Linked DNA regions of Rattus norvegicus. The protein of the gene in region 3 interacts with the protein of the main gene of each other region in a biochemical or structural test. Links are inferred from orthologs where the notes say so. Each region holds a gene or a part of one and is shown on either strand. Other genes may lie near its edges. The genes, in order: Mdc1, Ppm1d, H2ax, Rnf168 and Rnf8.

Region 1 (6,192 bases), on a different chromosome or scaffold from region 3:
TTCCCTCCATCATTCCTCCAACCCTTTCTCATCCCCACTTCCTTTCCAGCTGTTCTCCCCCCACCCCCACCCGCTCCGGCTCATCATACCTTGTAGGAATGGGGCATGCTGGGCAGGACAGTGCCTCCACAGCAGCTGATGATCTCTCCCATCTGAGGTGGAGGTGGCTGCACTCCAGGGGTCACATGAATCTCATAGTCCTAAGAAAGGAATGGTGGAGACAGATGCCTGCAGTGACAGGCCAAAAGCCACTGGGAACCTGCTAGGGGTACAGGGGATAGGACTGCAACGTGGTGCAGAAGACAGCCTCTCACCTCCAGTAGTCTTCGTTCCCGAGCCCGGCTCAGGGAATCCCGAAGGCTGAAGCTAAAATTCTTCTCTTGTTCAGGATCAGTCACCAAGTAGTCATCAGGCGGCAAGAAGCAACCAGCCTTTCGGGACTAAGAGGAAGAACAGGCAGAACTGTTTTTTATCTGAAGAGAACTTACTGTGTCTTGTTTGTCCTTCCCATTCCTCAGGACTGACCCCAAGACTTCAAGCATGCAGGGCAAGTGCTCTACCACTGAGTCATCCCAGCCCTTACGGTATTTCCTCAAAGCAGCCCACTGCCTCACTAACACAATTCTACATCTCCTCCCTCCCACTCCTTCTTTGGAGGCTAAACGAGCAGTCCTTTCCAGCCACGCATCATCTTCTGGCTTACCTGATAGAGCCAGTTCAGGGACAGGATGGGAATTCCCTTCCCCACGGCACACAAGAACTTGACTGTCCTGCGGATGCGATCAGTAACCAAGTGGGAGGCCTCATTTACTGAGCTGGCCAGACTGCCTCCTAGAGCCAGCACTGCACGCTCTCCACGAGAATCCACCACTCCTGTGAACAGTACCTGGGGCAGGGGATGGGGTGCAAAGATGGTCACAGCAACCCATACTAGCAGCATAGCGCCCATCCACCAATCCTTGGCCCTTGTTTCCTACCTTGGGGGCTGCTGCTTCCTGGTTAGGCTTAGTTCGCCGGCTTCGAGTTGGGTTTCCCTGGGTTTCCCCCTCTGCAGGGTCCCTCTTTCTCTTGCCTGGTGTTGGAATTGCTGTCTCCTGAGGCTGAAAAACATCTCAGTGGGCATCTCTGAGCCCTGTAGCCCTTGCTCCTAGCTAGGGAGACCCCAGCTCTCCTCTTACCTCTTCCTTCACTTGTATTTCTCCAGGATCTTCTTCCTTGACGACTACAGTTTTCTGGGTGACTTGTCTTCGGGGACGTTTTTGATGGGGTGAATCTGTGGTAATGGAAGGCTTCTTTTGGATTCCAGAAGCCGTAGGAATGGGCTTCATTATGCATCGAGGGAATGGCAGACTCATCAGGAGTGGTTGTAATGAACTCACCTGCTTCTGATGCTCCTGAGCTTTGGCTGGCTGAAGACTGGGGTTCAGGTTCAGCGGGGGTAGAGTAAGACTTAGGACCAACAGGAGCTGTGCGGGAGCCCTGCTTCCCAGTAGCCCTTCGCCTCCTTTGGTGACTGGTTTGTGGAACTGGCTCCAGGGTAAGAGGCTGGGCTATGAGGACAGGAGGCTTGAGTTCAGGGGTAGTGGAAACTGGGGAAGCACTTACAGGTGAAGATTGTAGTGTTAAGCTCTGACCTGTCACCTTAGAGGTAACAAGGTGGTCTGTAGAGGTGGGAGGCTCAAAATCAGGTGCCACTGGCCCAACTGATTCCAAACCTTCAGTGGAGGGTTTATGTGTCCTTCCCCGAGTGACCAGAGCTGTGGGCTTGGGGGTAGGCTGTTTTTTAGAAGTGGAAGGCTGGAGTGCAGGGGTTGTGGAAACACTTGCTTCAGGAGTCCTGACAGACCTACGTGTCCTGCCCTGAGATGAGGGCTCAGGGGTATCAGACTGTTCTGAGGAAGTGGATGGATGGAATTCAGGGCCAGTTTGGACAACTGGTTCTGGGGTCCTGATAGACTTATTTGACCTACCCCGAGAGGCCCGAGATGTAAGGTTAGGGGTGACAGGCTGTTCTGCAGAGGTAAGAGGCTGCAGTTCAGGACCAGTGGGGACAATTGGTTCTGGGGTCTTGATAGAAGGCTTACTTGATCTACCCCGAGCGGCCCTGGTTTTAGGGATAACAGGCTGTTCTATGGAGGTGAGAGATTCAGAGCCAGTGGGGACAACTGATTCTGGGGTCCTGACAGAAGACTTAGGTGGCCTGCCCCGAGTGGTCCGAGATGTGGATTTAGGTACGACAGGTTGTTCTGTGGAGGTGGGAGGTTGGAGGTCAGGGCCAGTGGAAATAAGTGGTTGTGGGGTCTTGACGGAAGACCTACTTTGCCTACCCCGAGGATTGAGGTTTGAGGTGACAGATTGTTCTGCGGAGGTGAGAGGCTGGGCTTCGGGACCTGTGAGAACTGGTTCAGGCATATTAACAGAGGTACTATGTGCCCTGCCCTCAGTGACCTGAGAAGTGAGGTTTGGAATGCCAGGCTGTTCTGTGGAGGTGGAAGGCTGGAGCTCAGGGCCTGTAGGGACAATCAGTTCTGGGGTCCTGGTAGAGGACCTATTTGCCCTGCCCCGAGTGGGGCGAGATGTTGGCCTAGAAGCAGCAGGCTGGTTTGTGGGGCAGGTAGTATAAGGCTTAAGGGCAGCAGAGGAATGTGGGGAGGGGGTCATCCTGGAGGACCGCCGTGGCCTGACATTAGGCTTTGTGTGAAGAGTCTCAGGAAGGGCTAGCTCAGAAGAAGAAGTGGGAAACATAGGCTGAGGTGTAGATTGCTTTTGGCTCTGAGAGGTGAGGAGACTCTGAGGTGAAGCTGAAGCTTCAGGCACTGGAGAAAACAGGCGATGGTCTGAGGGCTCTGGGTCATCCTGAGGAGGAGAAGGAGAAGCAACTGACAAAAGGCACTAGGAGAGGCAGGCAAGAATCTTGAGTTTTTTCAGTATTTCTGAGGAAGTCATAGCTCATGTAACTCCACCGTCCTCCACTGATTCTTCTATCTTTACTTCCAAGGGCTGTTCACGTGTCAGGTTTGAGTCTACTTATGGTCACAGCACTCACGGGCATGTCTCTTTCTGTAACTTTTCTTAGGCTAGGAACTCCTTGGGGAAGGAAGCAATCTTATGGATACCTTATGGAAGATATCTTATGTGCACTGGTGAGTATGACAACTAAGACATGCCTGGGGCAAAGACGGACAAAACAGAGACCTCTGGGTCAAAAAAGGGAACTATGGGTGGCAGGACACAGGAATGGAAGCCAACTAATGAGTGATGAATAAGAAAACTGGGATCAGGGAGACAGGTCAGTAGGCAAGGCAAGCACCAAGATCTGAATTTCATTTCTAGAACCCAAAGTATAGTGGCATATGCTCAGAATCCCAATGCTAGGGAGGAGACAGGAGGATTCCTGGAACTTGCTGGCAGGCAGTCTAGTCTACTTTAGCATATTCTAAGCCAGTTTGAGAGATCCTGACCATCACCCTGCTAAAAGGCTGGGTAGTCCCTGAACAACAACACAAAGCTGTCACTTGGCTCCCTCATGCACCTCCCCCAAAAACACACCCTCACACACATGCACACATGGACATGTAGTGAACTGGCTGCCGGGGAAGTAGGGCACAAGAGAGCAGCTCACCCCGGAAGCCTTTCCATCTGGCATCATCTGGCAACTTAGGTGGCCTGGTCAGAGAGTAAAGCAAGAGTGGCTGAGCGCTGTGCAGCTGTAGGTCAGACCCTGACTGCCACAAGGACTACATCCCACTTGGCTGCCCCTGCCTCACACTTATCTCTCCGCTGCCTCCTGGGGCTCAGAGGGTCTCCCTTTCCTCCATCTCCTGGGCTCCCAGAGATTATTGGGGCTGATGCAAGACCCTCAAGATCCTTCACCCCAGCAGGCTTTGGTGTTAGACTGGCAGTTTGCCCTCTCTGTTCATGGCTCCCTTCCTCTGTCTCCCCTCTATCTGGGCTTACTTCTAAACTCCCATTCTCTCTCTGGTTCTGCTTTCTCTGCTTTTCTCTCTCTCTTCTGTGAGTCTTTGGACATCTCCATTTCTACCTCCAAACTCTCCCTCTTCTCTTCAGGGTCCTCGCCAGCCTCTTTTCTGACTGTCTTTAGCTAACACCTTCTTTGACTCTGTCCTCTGTCCCCTGAGTTAGTTCTTTTCCTATCATATCTTCTCTCTCACTGTTTGCTCTTCTTTCCGATTTCCCTCTCCAATGGCTCTCTCTCAGGGGTCACCCTTTCTGCCATTTCCTTTGGTATACCCATGGCTTTCTCCACAGTCTGCATCTCTCTGTCATCAATTCTCAACAGCTCTGTGTGATCTAGGCTGGTAGGGACCGGATGTTGGTGTCCTGGTGGTTCCCCAGGTAGAGATGGTTGAGATCCATGAGCTTCATGGGTGTCAATGGGCTCAGAGGTCTCTGTCTGTTCTCTCAGACAGAACGGCTGTGTAGCCAAGACTTCCCAAGGCACATCCAAGGTATCTGCACCTAAACAAGGATCAGAAAAAGGAGGTAAGTACATGGGTAAACAAAATCACTAAGGCTGAGAACTAGGGCAGACTCACAAACAGCTAAATGGGTTACAAAAGGAAATCTGGGAGTAGGGTAGTGGCTGTAATGTTGCTGCTATTCAGAAGATTATAACCTCATACACAGGCTCCCTCAGGAGGCTCATTTGAAAAACAAGGATTGGGGATGTGGTTTAGGAAAACACTCATCTTAGGAGAATACTCATTTGTCACAGGTAAAACCCTGGGTTCAAACTCTAAGGAGAATGTAGAGGGAAAACCAATTTGAGTCTTTGGGCCAACCTAAATCTCCTGAACTAGAATCAGGATAATCTAGGCAATCTCATTTTTATTTATTTTTTTAACATGTATTTTAAAATTTTCTATTCATACGTATATCATGTGTGTGGGTACACAGAGAGCGATGAATCTCCAGGAGTGGAGTCACCGGTGGTTGCCAGCTGCCTGACATGGGTGCTGAATTCTTGTCCTCTAGAACAACAATGGCCACTCTTAACCATTGAGCCATGCCCATGTTGTTGGATTTTGTTGTTGTTGTTTCTGAGACAAGTTCTCATTTAGTCAAGGCCTCAAACTTTCTATGCAGTCCAGGATGGCCCTGAGCTCCTGCCTCTGTCTCCCAAGTTCTGGGAGACAGTGTGTGTCCCCATGTCTGGTATAAGTTTCTTTTCCTGATGAAATGGAGAACATCAGTAAAATAGGGAAAGAATATGAAAGGCAGGGCTGGGAATACAGCTCAGTTGGGAGAGCTCATCCAGCATTCATGACGTCCTAGTCCATCCCTAGCTGATGACACACACCTATAATCCCGGCACTTGGAAGATCAGCATAGGTAAATCTAACAAGACAGCATATGAAGGATGTGGAGGGAAAAATAAGAAAGGATGCAAGGCTGGGGGTCCAGAGACTTCCGTGTACCTGGAGTCGGGAGGCTGAGATGGGAAGGTCCAGGCTCTTGGGGAAGGCATGGGAAGACTTGGGTAGGCTCATCTTCCAAACTCTGGACAGCTGTAGAAGAAAAGGTGGGCACAACGCAGCTGTCCCAGAATCCCATCCCCCTACTTGGCCACATCGCCTTTCAAGGACCACTGGTCTGATCGCCCAGCTCTCCCTGGCACTCCCATCCAAAGCACACAATGTCCTCACCTCCTGGGTGCTGGCTCTCCCCTTCCACAAAGCACTGGGTGGCTGAAAGGCACAGATCCTCAGGTTCTGGTGGGAAGAGATGAGAGACAAATAAAAATCAACTCATCCCGAAGACTCCTGCAGTTCTCTCCTAAGCCTTATTTAAGGGTCAAACGCAGAGCAGAGGGCAACACTTACCATCACAGCACTCTTTGGCATGCTTGGTCCCGCCCACATGTGCTTCTCTTTCCCTTCCTGTGGGGGTCTGGGCTCCCTCTCTCTGTGGCAGGGTAGGATCCCCTGAAGTATCTGTGCGTACCACCACCTGCTCCACGGGTGCTGCAGGTGACCTGCTCTGAGCCCCGACCTCAAGAGCACTTTTCTGTTCAGAAACAGCTGCAGCACACTCTGTCCCAGCATCTTCCGCTACTGGCTGCTGGCTCATTCTTATGTCTGCCACTGGTGAGGATGAGCCTTCCTGCACAGCTGTTTCCCGGGCTTCCTCAGGAGGCTGGGCTCCCTCTAGAGGCACCTGGTGTTTCTCCCC
Region 2 (5,445 bases), on a different chromosome or scaffold from region 3:
GTAAAAAATACAAACCTACAGACCCAAGGTCAAACAATCAAAAGAATTTAACTCAGGAACCATTCAGGACCTGGTAGTGGCAGAAATGAGGAGATAACAGCTGAAAGACAGACCTAAAATTGCAGGGTATGTTTTTTGAAGACATGTCAATGAAACCAACTAATTTATACAATTAGCATATTTAGTAATTACCAAGAGACCTATAATCCCCTTTATAAGAGGATCCCGAAAGCCATCCTAGTGGGTCCACCTAGGTTTCAGTATTTCAATAGTGCCATCCAGAGAGACAGAATTCAAAAGTAGTAGGCAACATAGCATATCCAAGCCAGTGTTTGTTTTTCTAGTGTTACGGATCAAATGCAAGGTCTTATGGCTAGACATAGCTCAGAAGTTAAGAACACTGGCTGGTATTCCTGAGGTACTTTTTTTTTTTTTCCTTTTCTTTTTTTCAGAACTTGGGACCGAACCCAGGGCCTTGCGCTTGCTAGGCAAGCGCTCTACCACTGAGCTAAATCCCCAACCCCCCCCCTTTTTTTTTATTTCCAGCACCTACTTACTGGTCCACAACTTGCCTTTAAGTCCAGTTCACGAGATCTGACACCCTCTTAGGCCCCCACAGGCACTAAGCATATACGTGCTGCACATACTGCCATGCAGGCAAACTAATCGTACACATACTAATGAAGTTCTCTTCCCCCACCCCACTCCACCAGAGCTGAGGACCAAACCCAGGGCCATAAGTACTTTACCCCCAAGCTAAATCCCCAACCCCTAATAATTTTTTTTAAATGCAGGGCTTTGCACCTGTTAAGCAAACAATCACGTAAACCCTCACACTAAACCCCGAGTCCTTTTATCTCTCCTGCTCCTCATTTGTCTCCCTGGTTTTGTTTTATACACTACTATTTTCAGACTCGGTCTCATGATTCTCAGGTTGACCTAAAACTTTGTAACAAGGATGACTTTGAATCTCTGATCCTCCTGCCTCTAGTTTTTGCAGTGCTGGGATCTAGCCTAGGGCTTCCTGTGTGTGAAGCAAGCACTCACCCAACTCAAGCACATCCAAAGCCCTCAATGAGGTTTCTTGTTCCAAATTAAGGGCTTAAGATAAGATGTTCCTTTTTTTTTTTTTTTTTTGGTTCTTTTTTTTTTTTTTCGGAGCTGGGGACCGAACCCAGGGCCTTGCACTTCCTAGGCAAGTGCTCTACCACTGAGCTAAATCCCCAACCCCCCAAGATGTTCCTTAAGAAGCACAGTTGTACACATACCACATTTATAGAATCTTAGAGCTTCAGTACTTCCCTTGAGCTTTTATTCTATTACCAAAGGAGACACAGCTTTACTGAACACTTAGAACCTGTAAGTGAAGCATGTTGTTAGACATTTTAGTTCATGTCTGTGTTCTGTATTAATAAAAAATGAGTACTGTATGTATTTCAAGTCAAGAAAGCACAGGTATATCTCATATCTGACTGTTGGTACCTACTGTGAAGAGTCACCAACAAAACGCCAGCAACGTAAGGGCAATAGTTCACTGATTTATTGGATAGACATATTCATATAACCAATGAAAGCCTGTATGATATAAAATAATTTAGGAAATGTTGGGTATTAGCAGCACCATCTGTTATTGAAATAGCAAGAAAAACTTCACGTATTTTAAGCAAACACTAGAAGAGAGTAACTATATGGCCTAATGCCACTGGTCTGGGACAGATAGTGGTGTGTTAGGCAAACACACCGCCATCTGTGCCAGAGATTTCAGTAAGCACACCAGATGTACTGTTCTAGAAGAATGCTACTGAAGTTACAAGATACTGCATAGTGTAAGTGGGACAAGGAGACTAAAATCAGCTACATTAGCACAGCTCAGTATTTTTCCTATGAAAGGTTTACTTCTGAATTATGAAATGTGAAATAAAATGTAATTTTAAAAAGACACTGATGGTCCCTAGGAAACATTAAGTGGAGCACAGAGCACTATGAAAATACTTCACTTTTCCAGTTTGCTTAGTAATTTTCTTTAAAAAGTCACGTGTTCTTCACAAGGGGTGTATACAAGTGTGTAATAAGCATTTTAAAAACTTTAAAGACATTTTTAAAATCGTAAAGATTCTTCTGACCTTTCTTCAACATTAGCCCTGTTGTCACAATTACTGTGTGTCAGAATAAGAGACTAAATTTGTGTGAAGGATACAAATGTACACACATTTTACAGCAACTTATTCCCTACATCTACAAATTTCACATTTATAATACAGGCAAGTACAAGGCCAGAATAAAACTGTTAAATTCCAAAAAGTCAAACTGTATACTCTTTATTTTGTCCCCTTAAAAAAAGTTCAACTTCGGCACCAAATGTAAAAAGCCCTCAAGTCATAGGAAGGGAGATCCCCACTTCCCAGGCCCACCTCAGCACACACACACTGTTTTCCGGTGCTGATGTAAAAGAGGATTCCCCATCTTCTTCTGGCCCCGGAGTCTGCGCCTCATGGTCAGTGTGACAGAGTGCCTGCGCTGGGATGCTGTGGGGAGACTCGAAGCTTGGGCCCCGCTATTTCGACTTAAGCCATTTCGTCGATGCTTCTTCATAAGGGGACCAGAGTTGGATTCTTCTAATGTCCTTTTAAAATTGGCTGGAGGGGTTCTTTCAACTTCTTGAGCTTTCATTTGACCTGGAGTTGACATCTTTAAATTTTTTTGGTCCATGATAGTATTTGTTGAATTGGTTGGCATGAGGCCAACTGACAGAGTATTATTCAAAGAATCATGAATCCTTAAAGTCAGGGCTTTGGGGCAATTTTCTTCAAGTGTCTCTGAGTCTTTTGAGGTCATGACTACAGTCTGGATACTTCCTCGAGCTATCTCAGCTGGGACCTCTAAAAACTTCTCTGAGAAGGCATTACTGCGAACAAGGGCAGGTATATGGTCCTTAGAGTTCAGCCTTGGCCATGGATCTTCTTCCAGTGACTGGGGGGAAAAAAAGGAAAAATAAATATTTATCCTATGCTCGATAAACTGATACAGACAGTAAGTTCTTAAGACATTATTAAGAGGGGTTGGGGATTTGGCTCAGTGGTAGAGCGCTTGCCTAGCAAGCGCAAGGCCCTGGGTTCGGTCCCCAGCTCCGGGAAAAAAAAAAAAAAAAGGAAAAAAAAAGACATTATTAAGATAGTAAAACCAGCTGGACAGTGGTAACACACACCTTTAGTTCCAGCACTCAGAAGACAGGCAGGTGGATCTCTGTGAGTTCGAGGCCAGACTGGTGTACAAAGCAAGTTCTACACAGCCAGGGCTACACAGAGAAAACTTATCTCAAAAACAAACAGATGGCAAAAGCAAGGCATGCACTCACTTTCCTTCATCGTAAATTCACTGCACTAAGTTGAGGGTTACAAAGAAAGGAGTCAGTACAAAGGAACCCAGAAGGAACCCATCTCATCACAAGAGATAGCATCATGTACCTAAGGGGAGAAAACCATGTGCTCACAGGTCTTCCTGAATTACAGCTGGGACCAAGTAAAATACTTGAAGGCTTCAAAGCAGACCCCTTAAAACAGCCACAAGCACACACTCTACCAAGACATGCACTCTGTGCCCAGATGCAGAAAAGGGCTAAATTACTGCTTTTGATATTTTAATTTCTTTACCCAAACTCTATATTTTACTTTGTTTGTTTGTTTGTTTGTTTGTTTGATGAGACAGAATTTTTCACTGAAGCCCTGGCTGCCCCAAATCCTGCTATATCAGGCTGGTTTCAAACTCTTAAGATCTGCCTGCTTCTGTCTCCTAAGTGCTGAAATTAAAGTTATATAAAACCACTGCCAGCAGAAACTCTGTATTTGAATTTTATGTACAGTAATATACTACTGATGAACTAGCTCTAATTATTTTACATAAAATCCTTGCTTTTTGACACAAGCCCATGACAAACTTAAGCTGACATCCCAACTTTCTGGTTAATCAAATAATGCTTGTTTTCAATTTTAATTATGTGGCATAATGATGACACAATTGGGATGAAAAGGACCAAATTTCTATTGACTGCATTAAGACCTAGAGGCTTATATTACTGTCCTGCCATGGCATGTATGTGTGAAAATATGGACACACAAAATAAATGCAATTTAAAATTTTTGTTAACTTCTCAAAAGCTTGTGTGTATATGAGCATGCACAAACAGTATGCATATGTAGAGGTCAGGAGGCAAGTTACATGTGATCTCTCCTCACACCCTGAAGACCCCAGCATTGAACTTAGGCAGCAAGCACTGTCTTGATGCCTCTCAATGGCCTTTTCAGAAAAAAAATTGGGACAGTGTGTCATGTAACCCAGACTGGCTTTGGACTTGCTTTATAACTAGCGATGACCGCAGATTCCTGATTCTCCTGCCTCTACTTTACAGTGCTGATTGCAGAGACCCACTCATCTTATATACTCAATCAAGCCTGGGCCTCATGCTTGCTGGGCGAGCTATCAGCTGAACCCTACATCCCCAGCCCTATAAATGGCTTCTTGACAAAAACTAGTTAAAACTAGCGATCTTAAAACTATAAGTGAAAATTTTCCAGGGTGTTCTAAAAAATCTGTGACTATTATCCATCTAGGAACTATGAAGTACAATATTAAAAGCAATCATACCATAATGGAAAAATAGATAGTAATTTCCCATCCCGTGAACATTAGACACCAGATGTCAACTGAAAAGACAGGTCATGAAGGGACCTCAGTGAGCATAGTAATAGAACCCCCTCTTTTTCTGAGACAGAGTCTCACTATGTAGCCTTACAATCATTTCCAACTCTCCGTATTGCCCTTGAATTTGAGAGTCCCACCTCAGCTTCCCAAGTACTAGGATTACGTGTGCACGACACGATGCCAAAAGTGTGTGTGTGTGTGTACATTCATGTGTGTGAGTGCAGGTGCTTGTATGCCACGGCTCAGGTGTCATTTTGCTTTTGTTTTCTGTTGTGTATGTCAGCTAAGCTGCCCATGAGGGTCCATGAATTCCCCTTTCTCTACATTCCATCTCCCCACAGGGTGCTAGGATTACAAATGTTCCTGCTGTATGTCCAGCTCTCACATTGATTCTGGGTATTAGGACACAAGTGATTCTGCTTGCACATCACCCATTTTACCCACCCAGACATATCTGTAGCCCTTCCTTTTCCTTCCTAAGAGAAGGTCTTGATGATATTACCCATAGTTCTCCAAGAGTCCCAGTGCTAAGAAACGTTTGTTGTCCGCAATAGTATCTCACCCTGTAGTCCAGGCTGCTCTCAGACTTGCAGAAATCCTCCTGTCTAAGCCTCCTAGATTTTCAGATTACAGCAGGAATCACTCTGTGCCTAGATCCTAACCCTAAGGGACCCTTCTCTATTTGCCTAAAGAGCAACTCCATTCTTTGTTTATTTGATGTTAGTGTAAGTACTATGGGCTATTGAG
Region 3 (5,814 bases):
ATGTAATAAATGAATAGATCTTTAAAAAAAAATAATTTACAACACTTGCTTACTTACATAGTGTGTGATGCTTACAGCTGATGACCCAGAAGCAAGCATCAGAGCCAGAAACCGACTTCAGTACCTAAGTGCTCAGTACTCTTCTTAGTAACCACAGGGTGCAGAGTTCTTTGAGTCATTCAAACGAAGTCATCTTCCCATTGCAGACTCAATACGAAGACAGGCAAACTGGAGATGAGCTATTCCAAGTTCAAGACCAAGAGCCTCTCTTTCTTGGGCACGTTTATTTTAAAGGTAACAAGGTAACAAGGAGGTAAGGCCCCAGGCCGCCATCCTTAATTTGGGAGAAGAGAAACCTAGGCCTTCTCAGGCCCAAGGGGAGTTTGGAAACATCAAGAAGGGCCCTATTTGTGAAGTAGATCTGTGCACCTGAAGTTGTCTTCACCTCTGGTCCCTGCAGGTAGCAGAGAGCCTCCGGCTGGTGACAGTTCACCGAGGGGAGAGTGAGGATGGTGCCTTCACTGAGTGTAACAACATGACCCTCATCAACTTGCTACTTAAAGTCTTTGGGCCTACACATGAGAGAAACCTCACACTGTTCCTGCTGCTCCTGCAGGTACAGCCGAGGGTGGGGCTTAGTAATACAGTGGGGTTTATGTCTCTGGTCAGCCTTGGTTCCAATTCCAGTCCACTTTTCCTAGGTTCTGAGCAGCGCTGTCACCTTCTCCATTCGTTACCAGCTCGTCCGACTCTTCTATGATGTCTGAGCTCCCTGACGACTGCCCTTTACCACACAGTCTCCATTGGACCTCAGCCAGGACCCACCTCTGTCCGCTCCGACCGCCTTCTGGTCCAGGCTCAGCTTCTGCCGTCATCTGTGACTACTGACATCCTGGATGGACTCCTTAGTGGACTTGACGTCCACTAGTTGGACTTTGCCTATGCTTTCTTGAGTTTGCTACTCCCTCCCTTTCTGCAGCCTCACCAGGTGGGCCTGTAGCATCTTTTATGCAAATATTCATGGCTCAACTTTCAGAACCCTAACTCTAAAGGAATCCCCTGGGCCTTGAGAGAGAACCTGGGCTAGGGCTAGAGTTAGGGCAACATACTCCAAGGTAACCTCACATCTGACTATCAAATTAAGTGTTCTGATTAGGAAGAGCAGAGGCAGGGCCATGTGCTCAGAATGGTGACAATAAAGGATTGCCTTTTACTTGTTCCTCTAGGTGTAGCCACTCCTTCCTCCTTTCTTTTTAACCTTTGAGGTTCTTATTGAACCCTAGGGCATCCTTATACTTAAATGCTCTACCACTGAACTATATCCCAAGCTCGACATATTTATTTTTTTATATAGGCATTTTAGAATAGATTGAAAGGATTAGAGTGGGTACCTTTTCCAATAGGATCCCTACCCCTGCTCCCCTCAGACCCTTTCTTGTAAGAGAGGTCTGTCACATACTGAGACCAGACAGAACATATCAAATAAATATTACAGCACAAACTTGTGATAGCATAATGGATAACGGTGCTCCGTTTTCTGGCACAGGATTAAACTCTCAGAAGGTTTCATTTCTTTCATTTTAAACCCTCCCTTTTCAGCCAAGCCTTTAATCCCAGCACAAGGGAGGCAGAGGCAGGCGGATCTCTGAGTTCCGGGGCACCAAGGGCTAATCAGAGAAACCCTGTCTCATTAAAATAAAAGCCAGATGGTGGTGGTGCACGCCTTTAATCCCAGCGCTTGGGAAGCTGAGGCAGGCAGATCTCAGAATTCGCAGCCAGCCTGGTCTACAGAGAGATCCAGGACATCCAGAGTTACACAGAAAAACCCTGTCTCGAAAACCCAAAAATAATAATAAAGAACAAGCAAATAAATAAACCCTTCCCTTTGCCAGATTAGAGGAGGGAGTAGGAAGTGCCCTAACCTGGAAGGAGAAAGGTGCTTACAGTGAAGACCCTTTTCCTTTAAAACCACAGGCCGGCTCAGATTTCCCAGAAACCATAGAGGTAGCTCCAAGCTCCACCCTTCTAGTCTTCGGGTTTGTGGGCGCGCCGTAGCGTTTAAATTTCGCGCGCTCTATACTGATTGGCCATTTCCAAGGGTGATTCGCCTCTGGCTTGCAGCCACTCCGCCTTGTCTTCTTCCCCGGGTAAAAGGTTTTCAAATTGGACCAATCGCTGAGCGCGTTCTCTCGGCTATGGCGCGTCACCGAAGGGTTAATTGCAACCAACCAGAGGTGGGTATTAAAAAAAGAACCAATTAGGCGGAAGCGGGGGCGTGTCCAGAGAGTTTATAAGGGCGAGCTTGCCCGCGCGAGGCGACAGTTGACTGCGGCGGTTGGCGGTTTGTCTCCTGGCGTTTTTCTCAGCCCTTCTACCTCGCACACGATGTCGGGTCGCGGCAAGACCGGCGGCAAGGCCCGCGCCAAAGCCAAGTCGCGCTCTTCGCGCGCCGGCCTTCAGTTCCCGGTAGGCCGCGTGCACCGACTGCTGCGGAAAGGCCATTACGCCGAGCGCGTGGGCGCAGGCGCGCCCGTGTACCTGGCGGCGGTGCTCGAGTACCTCACTGCCGAGATCCTGGAGCTGGCGGGCAACGCGGCTCGGGACAACAAGAAGACGCGCATTATCCCGCGCCACCTGCAGCTGGCTATCCGCAACGACGAGGAGCTCAACAAGCTGCTGGGCGGCGTGACTATCGCGCAGGGCGGCGTCCTGCCCAACATCCAGGCCGTGCTGCTGCCCAAGAAGACCAGCGCCACCGTGGGGCCCAAGGCGCCGGCGGGCGGCAAGAAGGCCTCCCAGGCCTCTCAGGAGTACTGAGGGAGCCCGCGCCGCGGCTGCCCAGCCCTCCCCCACCTCCACAAAGGCCCTTTTAAGGGCCACCACCTCCCTCACAGAAAGAGCTGAGCCACTTCGGGCTCCGGCCCGCCGCGTCCCCATCCCATTCTCTCCTCTCAGTCCTCGCGTCTTTACCCTTCCCTGTGCGGCCTCCGGGTCTGCCACAGGACGCGGGCGCCGGGGCACCTACCCATCCCGGAGCTCGTGACATCGCTTCGCCGTTCTCAGTCGTCGACGGGCTGTGCGGAGAGGTTGCGGCACCTTCCACCTTCCAGAAATCTCGGCCCTTTGCTATGACGTACGGCCGAGGTGGGCTTGAAGGTTAGTTAACCACCACCACCACCCCCCCCCCCCGCAGCTACAACCCCAGCGTTTTCAGCTTGGTGCTTAGCCCTCTCCTGGACCTTTCAGAAGTGAGTTGATTGCCGGACTTTGGTGAGAAGCGGATCATACTGTTTCACTCTGTGTCCCCCTTACTGGCCTCTCAAACCAGTTGACCCTGTCGTCATTTGTAGGCCGGCATGTTATAACGTGAAGCCAATTTTTCCAAGATAAACTGGAAAGGGTCAGGGAACGCCTATTGGCCTGTGGACAGAAGAATTGTATACCTGCCGCAGAAGACTAGAGGAGCCGGGCCTAGCTATCCCTCTCCCTTAACTCAAACTACAACCCAAACACCCAGATACCAGCACAAGTCGGTGAATCCCTGTCTGGACTGAGCCTCTGGCTTCTGAACTGGAACTTTTGCAGCTATTACAAGTTTAGAACCTTAAGAAGTGGGGAGATTCAATGGGCTAATTTTATTAAAGGATCGTTTTTGGTTTGTTTTTTTTTTTTAAACGGAGTGTCTGATTTAATTTTGAATGCCTAACTTAACTTTGAATGCTGTAGTCCCAGGGCTGGACATTTACAGCTCCATAGTCGAGGAGCCATGTGCCCAGAACATCTCGTGGGAGGGAGTGGGACTAGAGGATAAACTTACCTTCCTTTCTGCAGGCACTGGGAATGAAAGGCTATGTGAAGATCCTGTTAACTAAAGACAGGCAGGCTGTAGGGATGAAGGCTAGTTTCTTTGCTTGGTTGAGAATGATCAGGATGTTTTACAACAGAAAGGTCCCAGACTCAGAATTCAGGTTTAAAAGGGCTTTGGGTTTATTCATATCTTCCCCCAACTCCAGGAGAACCACATTCTGAACTGATTAGTGGCATTGGTTACATTAAAAGATTGGCATGGACTTTCTCTAAAGAGATGAAGCCCACAAACTACTGAGGGAAAGGCAGTCATGGAGGCCCCAAGTTGAGGCATATCTTCCAAGGCCGAAGTCTCAACAACTCTGGTTCAATCTCCTGGGATAATCATTCCCCTTGTTAAGGAGCACAGGGCACTTGACAGCCAGACATAGGCACTGGAGTGACAGCTGGGGTTCGGTTCCTGTGCCCTGCAGGCCAGTTAGCGCACATCATTAAGCTGCCGTGCAACATCTAGGATGTTCTTAGCTCCTTTGTTGAGCAACAAGCTTGCCAGGCTGATGCCCAGGTTCTCAGCAGCTAGCTGGGCTCCTCTTGGAATGTTCCGGGCAGTGATTCCAACCAACTGTGGGTCATCCTCTGGACCATCTTCTTGCTGGATGACAGGAGTTATAATTTTGGTGAGAAGATTAAAAGCAGTTATATTTATTCCTCCCTCATCTCCCAGTCAGTACCTGAACAGGGACCTGGATGGTGGCCTGCATGGTCTCTTGCATGCTATCTGAGCCATCTAGACTCCAGACTCCACCAGTCAGGTACAGCTAGGAGATAAAATGTTTGTACCAGTATAAAGAAAGCTGCTTAGATGTTTGGGTGTACATGGAAATGCCAGTCCCTCCCCCTCATCCATTTTCCCCAGCTTACTTGCCCATCCTTCATCACTGTATGCACTGCTACTGGCACGCTACAGCCTCCTTCCTGCAATGATATATATGTTCCTTTGAGCTCTTTTGACCACAAACCTCTTAAGAATGTAACTGAGAAGGCTGCTGGGACCAGACCAAGGTCCTCTCCACACATAAAACATTACATACAGAGTACTTGAGAAATCTTCCTATTGCCCTTCTTGGTTTCCCAAGTCCCCACAACACCATAGGAGGAACCCATCTTACCAGGTGCCTCAGAAAAGCCCTTTCAGCAATGCAGCGAAGCAGAGTTTCAGGATCATGCAACACACCCACTAGGTCCAAGATATCCTGGTCCTTGGCTCGGACCTCCACCGCCAGGGCTCCCTAAAGGAACAAAAGGTCTGATCTCCAGTGAAGGACATGGGAACACCCCTCTTCTACCTGCTTCCCAGGATCTAATGCATGCCAAAGGCTGCTCCTCCCCAAACATTTTATTTGATAGGTAGTGGATGTCAAAGGTTATGAACCCAAGTTCTTGAAGGAGCACTTCAATAAAGCCCACTCCAGGCAAACTTACCTGACCCACAGCATACATGCATTCCTCTGGGTGCAAGATCTGTGGAGACAGACAAAATTGTGAGATGGGGTGTTCAAAGTGAGTGAGCTAGGGTTTGCCAACCTAGGAAGCCTGGGAAAGGTACAAGTAGGAAGTCCAGCAACTAATCCCAATATCTCTAGCCTGGGCTTGTGTTGTTGGCAGAGTGGTCAAGAAGATATCAAAGGCAGGAGAGAGGCAGAACAAGTGGGAAGCAGAATAGGGCGGCTCCTACCTGGCCCACCCGGTTCTGCCAGCCCATGCGCTGTAGGCCAGCCACAGCCAGGATAATGGCACTGAACTCCTGCAGCTCATCCAGCTTCCGTAGGCGGGTGTTGAGGTTTCCCCGCTGTGGAGAGTTGCTAAGGAGAAATCACCATCTCTTTTCCCCCTCTAGCTAACTTTTAAAACTTGTGTTTTGTTCTGTTTTGCTGAGTGCTGGTGGTACACACCTTTCAATCCCAGCACTGAAGGCAGAAGCAGGGCTCCATGAATTCAAGGCCAAAT
Region 4 (6,192 bases), on a different chromosome or scaffold from region 3:
TTTACTGGTGGCAATTAGTACAAGAGCTGACACATGATGTATGCTCTTCTTTCAACACCACGAACCATAGAGGCATCTGACACCCCAAATTTAGATGAGAGGATTTCATTATCCTCCTCTGATGACTTTGTTTCTCCTCTGGAACTTGATTTCAAGATGGCTGCAGGAAGCAGTCCTTAAGGCTCTCCTGGCAATCTGAAGTGTCAAAGGGCTCTGCAGTACCCCACCTCACTCACCGCTACCAACCGCAAAACGTGGATTTCAGCAGTTTCTGCCTTCTCCTTTTTAGACAAGGATTTACCAGGTCACTTACGATGCCCAGGCTGGGCTCAAACCCAAGTTCTCCTGTCTTACTTATTAGCCTTTAGAATAAGTGGGACTATGTCTCATCAATCACACCTAGTTCGAAGCATCTTTTAAAAAGCAACCATATAGGAAGCGCAAGGCCCTGGGTTCGGTCCCCAGCTCCAAAAAAAAAAAAAAAAAAAAAAAAAAAAAAAGCAACCATAGTCCTTGGTGATTTTTTTTTAAAGATCTTATCAAGGAAATATATAAGGCATAAAAAAAATTATTTATGGCCAGGCAGTGGTGGTGCACTCAGGAGGTGGAGGTAGAGGCGGAGGCTGACAGATCTGTCGGCCTCTGATCTTTCTTTCTTTCTTTCTTTCCTTCTTCCTTTCTTTCTTTCTTTCTTTCTTTCTTTCTTTCTTTCTTTCTTTCTTTCTTTCTTTCTTTCTTATAAGTACACTGTAACTGTCTTCAGACACACCAGAAGAGGGCATCAGATCTCTTTACAGATGGTTGTGAGCCACCATGTGGTTGCTGGGATTTGAACTCAGGACCTCTGGCAGAGCAGTCAGTGCTCTTAACCACTGAGCCATCTCTCCAGCCCCCCGGCCTCTGATATTTAAACTTGAGGCCAGCCTGGTCTACAGAGTGAGTTCCTAGACAGCCAGGGCTACACAAAGAAGAGAGACTGTCTCAAAAACAAAACAAAACAAAACAAAACAAAAAACCAGCTTATGAAAGAATAGTAGTGCCCACATCTAAGAACCATATAAAACACAGTAATAGGAAAGGAATATCACTGGAAAAGACCAGAGTGAATGACATGTGAACTTCTGTGTGTATATATTATTTTTGAGATTATAATTACTCAGCTTTGACATGCCAAAGACAGGGGAAAGCCTGCAAAGCCTTGACCCTAAACAAAGAACTACAAGCAAACAAGCAACATTGAGAGTGGAATACTCTTCCTAAGGGAAAAGCCCAACAATTCCAGTATCAAATGATCATTGCTGAAGACATGCCTATAAGTAACAATATAAAGACTGATCAGATTGTATTTAGGAATATGTTATGTATATAAGCATACATATATGCACGTAATAACAATTAATGAAAAAGGGGCCATGAATTTGAAAGACAGCAAGAAGGGGGTAATATGGGACCATTTGGAAAGAGGTTTTTTCTTTCTTTCTTCTCCTTCTTTCCAAAATTGAGATAGTATTCTATAAAAGGTCTCCAAGACAGGAGACCCTCAAATTTACAGAGCTCTCCCTGCCTCTGTCTTCCATGTATGGGGATTCATGAACCACAACACTTGACACTTGTACGAATAGTCTCTACCTTACTCCAAAGGGTCTCTGGCCATGCGGAAATCCCCAGGAAACACTGCTGAGCTTGGCGCACTCTCACACGCACTACTTGGTTTAATGTTGTGTGTTGGGAGGAGGTCTGGTTATAAAGTTCCCTCCCTACAGGGCCTCTTCTTCACCTCTCTCATACAGACTTCCATTTCTCATCTCATCTCTTACTACTTATTACTGTGTGTGTGTATAAGGGGTTTGATGTTTATTAGCACATGACTGCCACAGTGTGTGCACGTGTGTGTGTGTGTGTATGTGTGTGTGTGCATTCCAAAGACAACTTTGTGGAGTTCTTTGTCCCCTCTTTTTCTCGGGCTCTAGGGAACTAACACAGATTACCATGGAGCTACCTTGTCAGTCCTCATTGTTACTTTAAAAAGTTTCCTTTCTTTTCATTTTTCTTTTTCTTTTCTATCAGACAGTTTCTCTGTGTAACAGCACTGGCTGTCCTGGAACTAGCTTTGTAGACCAGGCTAGCCTCAAAAAAAAAAGGGGGGGGGGTTGGGGATTTAGCTCAGTGGTAGAGCGCTTGCCTAGCAAGTGCAAGGCACTGGGTTCGGTCCCCAGCTCCGAAAAAAAAGAAAAGAAAAAAAAAAAAAAAAAAAAGAAAAAGAAAAAGAGATTGATTGATTGATTGATTGATTGATTTTAGCTGGGCAGTGGTAGTGCACTTGAGAGGCAGAGGCAGGTGGACTTCTATAAGTTCAAAGCTAGCCTGATCTACAGAGTGAATTCCAGAACAGCCAAGGCTGCAAAACCAAACCAAACAGAGCCAACAACAACAAAAAAAAAAGGGGCTGGGGATTTAGCTCAGTGGTAGAGCGCTTACCTAGGAAGCGCAAGGCCCTGGGTTCGGTCCCCAGCTCCGAAAAAAAGAACCAAAAAAAAAAAAAAAAAAAAAAAAAAACAAAACAGAAGCTTTTGTTTTGTTTTTTCAAGACTCGGACTCTCTATGTAGCCCTGGCTGTCCTGGACTCCAGAGCTCCACCTCCCTCTGCCTCCCAAATGCTTGGATTAAAGGTGTGCACATGTATATGCCCCACTGTGTCCAGATCCAGCCCACATTTTAAAGATTCATTTAATGTTTACTTTATGTATGTTTGTATGCTATATGTATTCATGGTCTGTAGAGGCCAGAAAAATGCATGGTATCCCTTGAGTGGTTTAGGAGCCACCACACCTGATTTAAATCCAAGAATTAAACCTGGGTTCTTTGAAAGAGCAAGAAGTGCTCTTATCCAGTAAACCATCTCTCCAGCTCTTAGTTTGTTTTGAGATAGGGTTTCCCTGTGTAGCCTAGGCTACACAGAACTAGAACAATCCTACACCTAGCTCTGTAGTCCAGGTTGGCCTTCAACTCACAAAGTTCTGCCTGCCTCTGCCTCCTGAGTACTGGGATTAAAGGTGTGCGACACTCACTGACTGGCTCAAGCTTTCCATTGAAACAGCTTTTTGGCAAGATGATCAGCAGGTATACGTGCTTGCTGCCATGCCTGATACAGAGCCGGGTCAGTTCCCAGTGCCTACACTGCCTCATAGACACCCATAACTCTAGTACTAGGGATTCCAGTGCTGTCTTTTGGCATCTGAGGGCACCAGACACACATTCCATACATTTACATGCAGGCAAAACACTTAAACACATAAAAATAAGTAAATAAGTAAGTCTTTAAAAGACAAAACCAAAGCTCCTTAACAAACCTTAAAGACTTGGTAGTCAATATGAACACACCCAAAGGCTTACATACAGTAGACGATCAGTGGATAAATGACAGTCATATTCACTTACCTTTGAATATCTCCAAAGTTTTTTTGTTTGTTCGTATTTTTCTTCTGTGACTTGTTTGTGACGGGATCTGATTTTCTGGAACTCAAAGGAGATGCCAAGATATTTCTCTCGTAGTTACTGTTCTTCAGTAACAAGAAACACATACAAAGACATTTTATTAAGGAGAACTTGATGAAAAATAGAAAGCTTTGAATTGTATTAACTCAAAATTCTTTTTAATTTAAAAAAATTAAAAATAATGTGGTAGTTTGAATGTGCTTGGCCCAGGGAGTGGCACTCTTTGAAGGTGCAGCCTCATGGGAGGAAGTGTGTCACTGGCTTTCAGACCCTCCTTCTAGCTACCTGGAAACCTGTCTTTTCCTGTTTACCTTTGGAACAAGATGTAGAACTCTCAGCTCCTCCTGCACCATGCCTGCCTGGATGCTGCCATGCTCCTGCCTTGATGATAATGGACTGAACCTCTGAACCTGTAAGCCAGCCCCAATTAAATGTCCTTATAAGAGTTACCTTGGTCACGGTATCTCTTCACAGCAGTAAAACACCAATTAAGACAAATAATTTATTTTTATTTTATGTACATTGGTCTTCTGCCTGCTTGTATGTGTGTGTGAAGGTGTCAGAGCCCCTGGAACTAGAGTTAGAGACAGTTGTAAGCTGACATGTGGGTTCTGGAAATTGTACCTCTGGAAGAGCAATCAATACTCTTAACCACTGAGCCATCACTCTAGTCCCTAACTTAGATTCTGTAAAGTTATTTAAAGACCACCAAGTATCTATATACATCATTTTCATTCCCAAGACTTTATTTTGCAACAGGCATCCATATAGCATTTACATGATCATAAGTAACGACTTAAAGTCCATGGAAGGCAAGATGGTTCATCAGTTAGGGGTGCTCATTACTAAGTCTGGCAACCTGAGTTCCATCTTAAGATCAAGAAGATAGAAACAGAGAACCAACTCTCACAAGTTGTCTACTGATTGCTCGTGTAAGCGCATGTGCACGTGCATACATACTCGCCAAACACATAAATGTAGTGAAAATAATCATACAGGAGGACATGTTTAGGTTATATGCAAAGCTATGCCGTTTTATGTAAGATTTGATCATCTTTAGATTTTTGTATGTATGATAGATCACAAAATTAACTGAAATATAGAGGTATACCTCTATAAACAAAATTAAGCCTATTCAAGTTTGCTAAATTAAATGCATCTATTACTATATATCTAGTCATGTTACATATGTAACATATGTAAATTGTACCTTATACACACACATATCAGATACATAAAATTAAATACAACACACACACAAATACTCTTTCAAAGAAATGAAGATACTAATTAATCTTCTATCTGATAATCTCATGGCTTTGTTTTGTTTTTTTAAAAAAGATTTACTTATGTGTATGGGTATTTTACCAGTTCATGTCTGCACCATATGCATGCCGAATAGCTGGGGAGTTCAGAAGAGGATGTTGGATACCCTGGAACCAGAGTTAGAGACGGCTGTAAACTGACATGTGGGTACTGGAAATCAAACTGGGGTTCTTTGAGTGTAAGCAGCACTCTTTACCACTGAGCTACCTCGTCAGCCTGACAGTCTCATGCAATTGTAGCTACCTTACTCTGTTGTGGAAAATATTAGTTAAAGAGCCAAGAATATATCTAGAGCAAAAGTTATTACACAGAAATAAGTCATTAATTGTTTACCTATCTCTAAAATTTTACAATAAACCAACAATAATCCTAAAACTTCAATAAATCTACTCTACCTCATGTGAAAACTAGAATTAGCAGGTACAAGTGGCTCCAAATTCCCTTCTTCAGTGTCTCCTTCTCAACCCACTCACCATCCTCAGTGTGTCTCAACCCATCATCATCCTCAGTGTCTCCCTCTCAACCCACTCACCATCCTCAGTGTCTCCCTCTCAACCCACTCATCATCCTCAGTGTCTCCTTCTCAACCCACTCACCATCCTCAGTGTCTCCCTCTCAACCCACTCACCATCCTCAGTGTCTCCTCAACCCACTCACCATCTTCAGTGTCTCCTCAACCCACTCACCATCCTCAGTGTCTCCCTCTCAACCCACTCACCATCCTCAGTGTCTCCTTCTCATCACACTATTTTTTTTTTCTTTTTTCTTTTTTTCGGAGTTGGGGACCGAACCCAGCTCATCACACTATTACATCTGGCCATCCCTCTCTCCTTCTTTGCCTCTCTTCCCCCACCACTCTCTGGTTTCTATGATTGTTGTAGACAGGGTTTTAGCTAAGTAGCTCACACTGACCTTGAAATTGCAGTGATCCTTTTACCTCAGCCTCCCAAAGTGCTAGGATTAACCCATAGCTGGTCAGTCTAATTTCCTGATGGTGCATCTCTCTAAATTTTAACTCAAACTGACGAAAGGCTATACAATAAAAGGCGGATAAGATCATAAAGCTAAAGTACATTATAAATGGTAAGAGTCATAAAAAAATTCGAGGTATACTTCACTTTTATAAAATATATTCTCGGGGTTGGGGATTTAGCTCAGTGGTAGAGGGCTTGCCTAGGAAGCGCAAGGCCCTGGGTTCGGTCCCCAGCTCTGAAAAAAAGAACCAAAAAAAAAAAAAAAAAAAATATATATATATATATATATATATATATATTTATTCTCAGGTGTGTTTTTCAAAGTAGGGAGGAGTTAAACATCGTCATAGCTGTTTCCTGCACATATATTATTTAAAAAGAAACCTAGGTCTGCAGC
Region 5 (6,870 bases), on a different chromosome or scaffold from region 3:
GTCAGTGTGGATTGGAGCGGTGCTCAGTGGGTAAGAGCTCATAACTCCATGCCCTCTTCTGGCCCCTGCAGGCACCTGTACACACATGGGGTACGCACTCTGCAAAGTCTAGTTTGTAGTCTACAACTAAATCCCTTGAGCCCTGGGCCTGCGCTTACCCACGAGAACAGTTGGAGTTTCTGTAGAAGACAGAAACAAAGCTCAGATTCCACCTATCAAACTTCCTGGTGCACTTGTCCAATCACAGCTACGTGAGGGAAGGAAATGAGGCTCTTCTGAGACCCAGGCCTTAGTTTCTTAGTTGTTTTCTGTGCTTATGTGATCTTTTGACAGAGCTACGGTGACTGTAGCAGAAAACAGCCAAGGTTACGGTTTTCTCCTCTCCTATTTCCGAACACTCTCTGTAGACCATGATGGCCTGGAACACAGAGATTCTCCTGCCTCTGCCTCCTGAGTGCTGGGATTAAAGGCGTGCACGGTCTGTGGTTTTCTACAACATGCATTCATTCCTCCTTTTGTAAATCGTTCAGAAGCGTATCTTCGAGCTCCTTAAAGACCAGTGACAGCGCGGGCCTAGTTTACTAGTTGCTTGTAACTAACCTGACCATCAAGTTAGACCTCAGCTGAGAACACAGAAGCCACCTTTGATTGTGAGTCCTTCATTCCCACACCCTAACTGTACCTAATCCTATCCTGCGGTCATTTCTGCCCTGGGAATCTTCACTGCCACCTCCAGTCCACCTAGTCCTGGGCTTTCAGCTCCTTTCTGAGTCTTTCTCTTCCCACAGTAGCTACAGAGCGGATAGAGAAAAGGTCAGATCACCTCTCGTCTTCAAACCCCACTTAACCTAAAGCTATCCACACTCCAGTCGACCGAGGGCCTTTTCATATACACTGGGCTCTGCTTAAAATGCTTTCCTCAGAACCGTAAACTCCTCTTCCCAGACTCACCCGCTCAGGGCCCACACTAATTACACTCACCTACAAGTGGTGAGACACAGTTCACGAAGTTCACGTTACCAGCATACACTTAGCACAGCCCTAAAGTCCCTCCTACCTGTCCATCCTGCCCTCACTGCTTCCTAGAGTGCACATCTCATCCCCACTGCTTTCTGACCCACTACACAGCAGATACTTGACAACACAGGGGTGTTGCCTGAACCCTGTGTGGTAGGTGTGCCCAGAACCCTAGCAGTAGGAAGTGGGGATGGGAGAGGACGCCCGCCTGCCTATAGGATAGGCCCAGATTCCAAAACGGGCGATATTTGAGTGTTGTTTTATGTCAGAAGTTGGAAACTGGGGGGGCAGACCCCGAGATAGCTCAGTGGGTAAAGGCACTTGCTACCAACCCTGACAGCCTGAGTTCAACATCTTGGCCCACTCGGTAGGAGAGAACGGACAGACTCGTTGTCCTCTGACCTTACACATACACTGCAGCATGCAGATAACTACCCTCATACATATCATACATACACACATACACACACACACATACATACATACACACACACACACACACACATACATACATACACATTTTTTTCACATGAAGACTGCCCAGGTCCAAGGACTAGCATGGCGATGCGGTGTCTAGGGATCGTCTGCCATCCCGTCCGTGTTCACCAACAATTCCCGTCTCTGGTAACTGTTTTATAGGAAGCATTCCATATCCATTTGACGCGATGGGAGACAGCCTGACTGCCATCAGGGAGAGAAGCACCTTGCTCTGAAATGGACTTAGAATCCAGAGAGGGGAAATGTCCTTGTCCTCCCTCCGCTTCGCTGTCCTGGGCTTCACAATGGTTCCACGTCAGCACCGCTCCCCATGACAGCTGCTCCACCTCCAGTCCTTTAGACGCCCTTGTTTTCTCAACCACTTTCACCAGCCCGATCCTCCTGTGCAGGGCTCTGATGCTGAGAGAACCAGTACACTCTCGGGAGCTATCCCACCCCTTTCCCTTTCCAGCTCACTCAGGGTAGAGTCAAGGGAACCAAACACAAGAGAAGCAAGCGGGCGGCGGAAGGCGATGTTCCCTGCAGGCCTGCAAGGGGCTCACCTGTGATCAACACCCCCCCACCCCCCGGTCATTTGTACTTAGACAAAACTATCCCGATTGGTTCAGGAAGCTTAAAGGCAGATAATTTGCTCCTGTGTGATACGGAGATCTCTAGTGTTTTTAGATTTTTATCTGCACAGTGAAGCTCTGAGGGAAACTGGAAAGGCAGGAACTAACCGGCTTTAGCTGTTAGGATTGGCCGATGCCAGGCGCACCTCTCAGAACCTTCCGCAAACCCACCTGTACCAGCACCTGAGAGCCACAGTCAGAGCTCATCCAGGGTTTGACTCCGACTCCACACGCTCTGCAGACTACGCTCCACATGCTGCCAACAACCGGACTTTGCAAGTCACTGGGCGGGCTTCCCTTACACACAGGCCGCCAAGGTGAGTCAATCCTAGATTCAGCTTTCTCCTGGTTTGTCTGGGCCTTGCCCCATAGATGTAATTCCACACAGATCGGTGACACTGCGTAGACACGCCCAGTAGTGTTTGTGCCCTGTTACTCTGAGTCTGAGGAGCAGTTCGGGAGTAATGGATTAGCCCAAGGGACGGAGTCTCAGAGACTAAGTCAGTACTTAATGGATCAAGTTCCCCTACAGGTTTGTGAGGGACTAGTAAATGCTCACGGATCAGATTAAGTAATAAAGATGAAAAGAAAAAGAAAAAACCTCATATGTAAAAAAAATAAGCAGCCCTCTGATGCCTAACTTAAAGCAGGACCTGCTCTAGAATATTCCTAAATAACCCAAGACCCTGGCCAACCCAGATGGTCTCAGGCTCCTTCGCTGTGAAAATACTTTTTCCCTGGTTCAAGTCACAAATCCCTATGTTTGTCTCTCAACTGAGAATTATACAGCTTATCAGAAATTCTAACCTTACCAATTCACTGAATGTAACTTAGATGATCTCTTAGGGTTACTATTCTTGCCAAGGAAACACCATAACCAAAAAAGCAAGTTGGGGAGGAAAGAGTTTATTCAGCTTACAGTTCTGAATTGAAGAACATCATCAAAGGAACTTAGGGCAGGAACCTGGAGACAGGAGCTGATGCAGAGGCCATGGAGGGTGCTGTTTACTGGTTTTCTCAGCCTGCTTTCTTATAGAACCCAGGACCACCAGCCCAGGGATGGCACCACCACTATCCATCATTAATTAAAATGCCTTACAGACAGATCTTATGGGGGCATTTTCTCAATTAAGTTTCCCTCGTTTCAGATGACTCTAATTTCCGTGCCAACTTGACATAAGACCAGTCAGCACACAGGACCAAACATTCAGTACTGCACCCCAAGGGTTTCTACATTGCAAGCTCGTCCCTGACCCAGTTCCCTTTCCAGAACTGATTACAAGGACGCAGTCCGCCCCAGCACCTCCCTCCCGCCTATAAACTGTGCCTCCCCTTTTGGCCTTTGTTTTTAATTTTGCATGTATGGAGCTGAAGATACATTTGGTAGAGTGCCTGCCTTCCAAGTACGAGACCCTGGGTTCGGGATACAGCACCAGCCCCTAAAGTTTGCATTATCAAATATTGTGAGCAGTTTCTGGAGAGAAGGCTAACCCACTTCGGGACTCTGGGAATGCAACCGTGGTCCACGCCGGCTCGCCAATTACCCTCGGAGATGGAGTGGAAGACTTTATTTATTTACATATTTTACATTACAGTTCGAGGGTTTTAAGCAAGCTACCCTTAAACTCGCGATCGCACTTAAAATCAACTCCGAGAGTCTACGCAGTCCATCTTCAGACTCCCTGGGCAGGCTCCCCATCCTTTGGAGTCAGTGGGGACGCCTCTGCCTCAGTTTCCCCGTCTCAGCTGGGTCACCGCAAGACTCTAAGAGACCCTTAACGGGGACCGTGCCTGTTCTCGACCCCATCCTTCTCCTCGCTGGCAGGCCCGCGTCCGTTACAGCGGCTCCCGCACGGGCCCCGCTCCCGCGCAGCCGCCCTCCAGCCCCGACCTCAAGCCGCGGCCTCGCCTGGCCTCGCGGCCGGGTCCCTCCAAGCCCTGAGGTGGCCTGGAGCCCGCTGAGGCCTCGGCGCCTCCGGGCAGGCCGGATCGGATGTGCGCGGCGCCGCTCCTCAGCCTTCCCGCTCCCGTAGCCTGCCAGGCCGCTCGCTCTCACCTCACTCCCAGCCTCCAGCTGTAGCCACTCGCGGTCCATCCCCAGCCGCCGCAAGCACCAGCTCCGGCGGGCCGCGAGCTGCCCCGAGACCAAGGGGTCGGGCTCGCCCATAGCCCGCTCGGCACCGGGGCAACTTTCAGTAACCAGCCAAACTCCAGCCTGGGCTCCGATCGCTTCCGAGGCGCCTCTCGCGCACCATACCTAAACACCAGACAGAAGCAATCGCCCGGAGATCGGTGGCGCGGCGAGCGCGGGCCCGCCCCTGGGCTAGGAAGGCAGGCATTGCGCGTGCGCAGCGGGAGGGCGACGGCGGCGGAGGGCGGGGAGAGCGCAGGTATTGAGTCCGAAAGGGCGGGCTTAAAGTCTTCTGCTGACCTACCTCAGCCAGGGCCTCCGAGTGAGGTTGTGTCTCCCAACCCCCAAAACCGTAAAATGTAAATCATAGGGCTTGGAGGATGGCTCAACGAGTAAAGTTGCTTGTTGCCAAGCGTCGAGTCAAGAGTCCGATGCTCAGGCTTCACCTACGTGGTGGCAGGGGGAAACTGACTCTTCAAATTGGCCTCTTGACCTCCACATGCGCGCCTAGCGGGTTTGTGTGCCCACACGAATAAACACCTAAATTATAAAATCGTAGTAAATGACAAGAGGCACTGTCTTTCCTTGGGTTTGTGAATATAATGACTTTCCCAATATCTTCCTCCCCCGAGCTCTCCAAAGCTATTACTACCCCAGAAGCTGCATCAATGAACTGGAACCTCTGATTTCCACCCCACCACCCCCTTTTTTCTTTGGCAGGGTGTGATGGAGGACGAGGAATTCAAGGGCATCCACCGCTATGCAATGAGTTAAGAGGCCAGCCTGGGATATGAGACCGTGTCACCAAAGCAAAAATTGCTTCATAACTACATTTTGATGGTGGCCATAACTATTTTATTTGATTTATAAAACTCTGATCATTTTAAAGTTGATTTGGTCTAGTTACTATTTAGCCTCTCTCTCTCTCTCTCTCTCTCTCTCTCTCTCTCTCTCTCTCTCTCTCTCTCTCTCTCCATGACCTCATTTTGTTAATGAATTTTAAAAAATTATACCAGGCAAATCTGTAGAGATGGATCACATTACCTGGGGCTCATGGGGGGGGGGGGTAGAGAATGAATGGGAATGGCCTTGAAGGGGCTGGGGAGAGGATACTCTCCCTCATCTCTCCACCCAGGAGTTTGGTTGTTGTTGTTTAATGTCTGCATTATAGGTGTTTTGCCTGCGTGTATGCCTCTGAGCCAAGTGCATGCCTGATGCCTGCAGAAGAAGCCAGTAGAGATTGTTGGATCCCCCTAGAACTGGAGTTCTGGGGTCCTGAGCCACCATGTGCGTTCTGGGAACCAAACCCATGTCCCCTGGAAGAGCAGCTCATCTTAATCGATGTGCCATTTCTCATGCCTGCCGTTTTTTTGTTTGTTTGTTTGTTTTGTTTTTTTCTTTCTTTTATCTCTGTGAAAGTACGGAGGTGGTTTGTGTGTGACCAGCTCCCTGGACTTGAGAGTGGACTGGAGGCTACTGTAGCACAGTGAGGCAATACAGACTACAGAACCCGGCTTCGTGAGTTCCAATCCCAAGCCTACTATTTACTATAGGTGCTGAGGAAGCTATTTGACTGCCCCACGCCTTAGTTTCCCAACTTGTAAGATGAAAACTGTAGCTAACATTTGCTACTTTGTGGGTTCTTTCTTCCACCCTTCACACCCATTCAACTCCCTAACACCAGATAGGAGAGAAAAGGAAGGAGACCGAAAGGAAGAGGGACGATACTATTGTTAAGACACTTCCTGTTGATTAGGGGCATTGAGTTTGATCTTTGCCATCAGGATAGATTTCTTCTTTCTTTTCTTTTCTTTCCTTCCTTCCTTCCTTCCTTCCTTCATTCTCCTTTGCGCACAACTACTTAACAAACCAAGACCAATAGCAACTAACCAAAAACCCACCCTGTCTCTCCACCCTCTGAAAAGTCCCCAGAATCCCAAATGTCACATAATCACAGAGACTCTCTGCCAATGGGAAAAAAAATCACACCCCTGCTAGGGCATGAAGCAAATCACAGTCAGCTGCTGTGGACGTCCTGGAGCAGCCCCATATCCCACACCTGGGACTAAAACAAAAACATATTCTTATCATATTTCTGTTCTGTTTTGTTTTTTTTTTTTCTTTTTTTTTCGGAGCTGGGGACCGAACCCAGGGCCTTGCGCTTGCTAGGCAAGCGCTCTACCACTGAGCTAAATCCCCAACCCCAATTCCAGGGTTTTGAAGGAGGAGCTGTGTACTTGTCTATTTTTTTTTAAAGATTTATTTATTTATTATATATAAGTACACTGTAGCTGTCTTCAGACACACCAGAAGAGGGCATCAGATCTCATCATAGATGGTTGTGAGCCACCATGCGGTTACTGGGATTTGAACTCAGGACCTCTGGAAGAGCAGTCAGTGCTCTTAGCCGCTGAGCCATCTCTCCAGCCCCATCTATGACATTTCTACCCTCTGTTACACAAGAGACATAAAAAATAAGGTTTTTCTCTCTTTAAGCTGTGTAATATTATAAAGACATTCCTTAAGCTTTAGACTTTTTAATCTATAAGCTGCATCCGAGCAAGACATGTCTTTGAAAAACCCAAACCAAGCCGTTCCCTTTTGCGAGCAGGG

What was found.
Region 1: the proteins of H2ax (region 3) and Mdc1 form a complex in vitro, tested with the Homo sapiens proteins (5 studies listed by BioGRID and IntAct, with this or other methods). The link is inferred for Rattus norvegicus from reciprocal best matches to the Homo sapiens genes H2AX and MDC1.
Region 2: of the proteins of H2ax (region 3) and Ppm1d, one has a biochemical effect on the other in vitro, tested with the Homo sapiens proteins (3 studies listed by BioGRID and IntAct). The link is inferred for Rattus norvegicus from reciprocal best matches to the Homo sapiens genes H2AX and PPM1D.
Region 4: of the proteins of H2ax (region 3) and Rnf168, one has a biochemical effect on the other in vitro, tested with the Homo sapiens proteins (2 studies listed by BioGRID). The link is inferred for Rattus norvegicus from reciprocal best matches to the Homo sapiens genes H2AX and RNF168.
Region 5: of the proteins of H2ax (region 3) and Rnf8, one has a biochemical effect on the other in vitro, tested with the Homo sapiens proteins (2 studies listed by BioGRID). The link is inferred for Rattus norvegicus from reciprocal best matches to the Homo sapiens genes H2AX and RNF8.

Annotation. Positions count from the first base shown.
Region 1 is NC_086038.1:2,903,219-2,909,410, forward strand, and holds part of Mdc1 (mediator of DNA damage checkpoint protein 1), read right to left. Parts: coding exon 5,844-6,192; intron 5,733-5,843; coding exon 5,667-5,732; intron 5,529-5,666; coding exon 5,439-5,528; intron 4,480-5,438; coding exon 4,252-4,479; intron 3,667-4,251; coding exon 3,623-3,666; intron 2,857-3,622; coding exon 2,328-2,856; coding exon of another isoform or gene 1,551-2,327; coding exon 1,380-1,550; intron 1,274-1,379; coding exon 1,179-1,273; intron 1,101-1,178; coding exon 978-1,100; intron 887-977; coding exon 704-886; intron 441-703; coding exon 315-440; intron 201-314; coding exon 90-200; intron 1-89. UniProt on the Homo sapiens protein: Histone reader protein required for checkpoint-mediated cell cycle arrest in response to DNA damage within both the S phase and G2/M phases of the cell cycle.
Region 2 is NC_086028.1:70,702,104-70,707,548, reverse strand, and holds the end of Ppm1d (protein phosphatase 1D), read right to left. Parts: intron 2,971-5,445; coding exon 2,413-2,970; 3' UTR 1,519-2,412; downstream 1-1,518. UniProt on the Homo sapiens protein: Involved in the negative regulation of p53 expression. Required for the relief of p53-dependent checkpoint mediated cell cycle arrest.
Region 3 is NC_086026.1:53,566,401-53,572,214, forward strand, and holds H2ax (H2A.X variant histone), read left to right. Parts: upstream 1-2,317; 5' UTR 2,318-2,385; coding exon 2,386-2,817; 3' UTR 2,818-3,672; downstream 3,673-5,814. Other genes in the region: Dpagt1 (UDP-N-acetylglucosamine--dolichyl-phosphate N-acetylglucosaminephosphotransferase), read left to right, coding at 207-294, 461-616, 702-767; Hmbs (porphobilinogen deaminase), read right to left, coding at 4,286-4,459, 4,539-4,625, 4,729-4,782, 4,977-5,096, 5,290-5,328, 5,543-5,656. UniProt on the Homo sapiens protein: Variant histone H2A which replaces conventional H2A in a subset of nucleosomes. Nucleosomes wrap and compact DNA into chromatin, limiting DNA accessibility to the cellular machineries which require DNA as a template.
Region 4 is NC_086029.1:81,998,734-82,004,925, forward strand, and holds part of Rnf168 (E3 ubiquitin-protein ligase RNF168), read right to left. Parts: intron 3,561-6,192; coding exon 3,439-3,560; intron 1-3,438. UniProt on the Homo sapiens protein: E3 ubiquitin-protein ligase required for accumulation of repair proteins to sites of DNA damage. Acts with UBE2N/UBC13 to amplify the RNF8-dependent histone ubiquitination.
Region 5 is NC_086038.1:7,681,472-7,688,341, reverse strand, and holds the start of Rnf8 (E3 ubiquitin-protein ligase RNF8), read right to left. Parts: upstream 4,378-6,870; 5' UTR 4,294-4,377; coding exon 4,183-4,293; intron 1-4,182. UniProt on the Homo sapiens protein: E3 ubiquitin-protein ligase that plays a key role in DNA damage signaling via 2 distinct roles: by mediating the 'Lys-63'-linked ubiquitination of histones H2A and H2AX and promoting the recruitment of DNA repair proteins at double-strand breaks (DSBs) sites, and by catalyzing 'Lys-48'-linked ubiquitination to remove target proteins from DNA damage sites.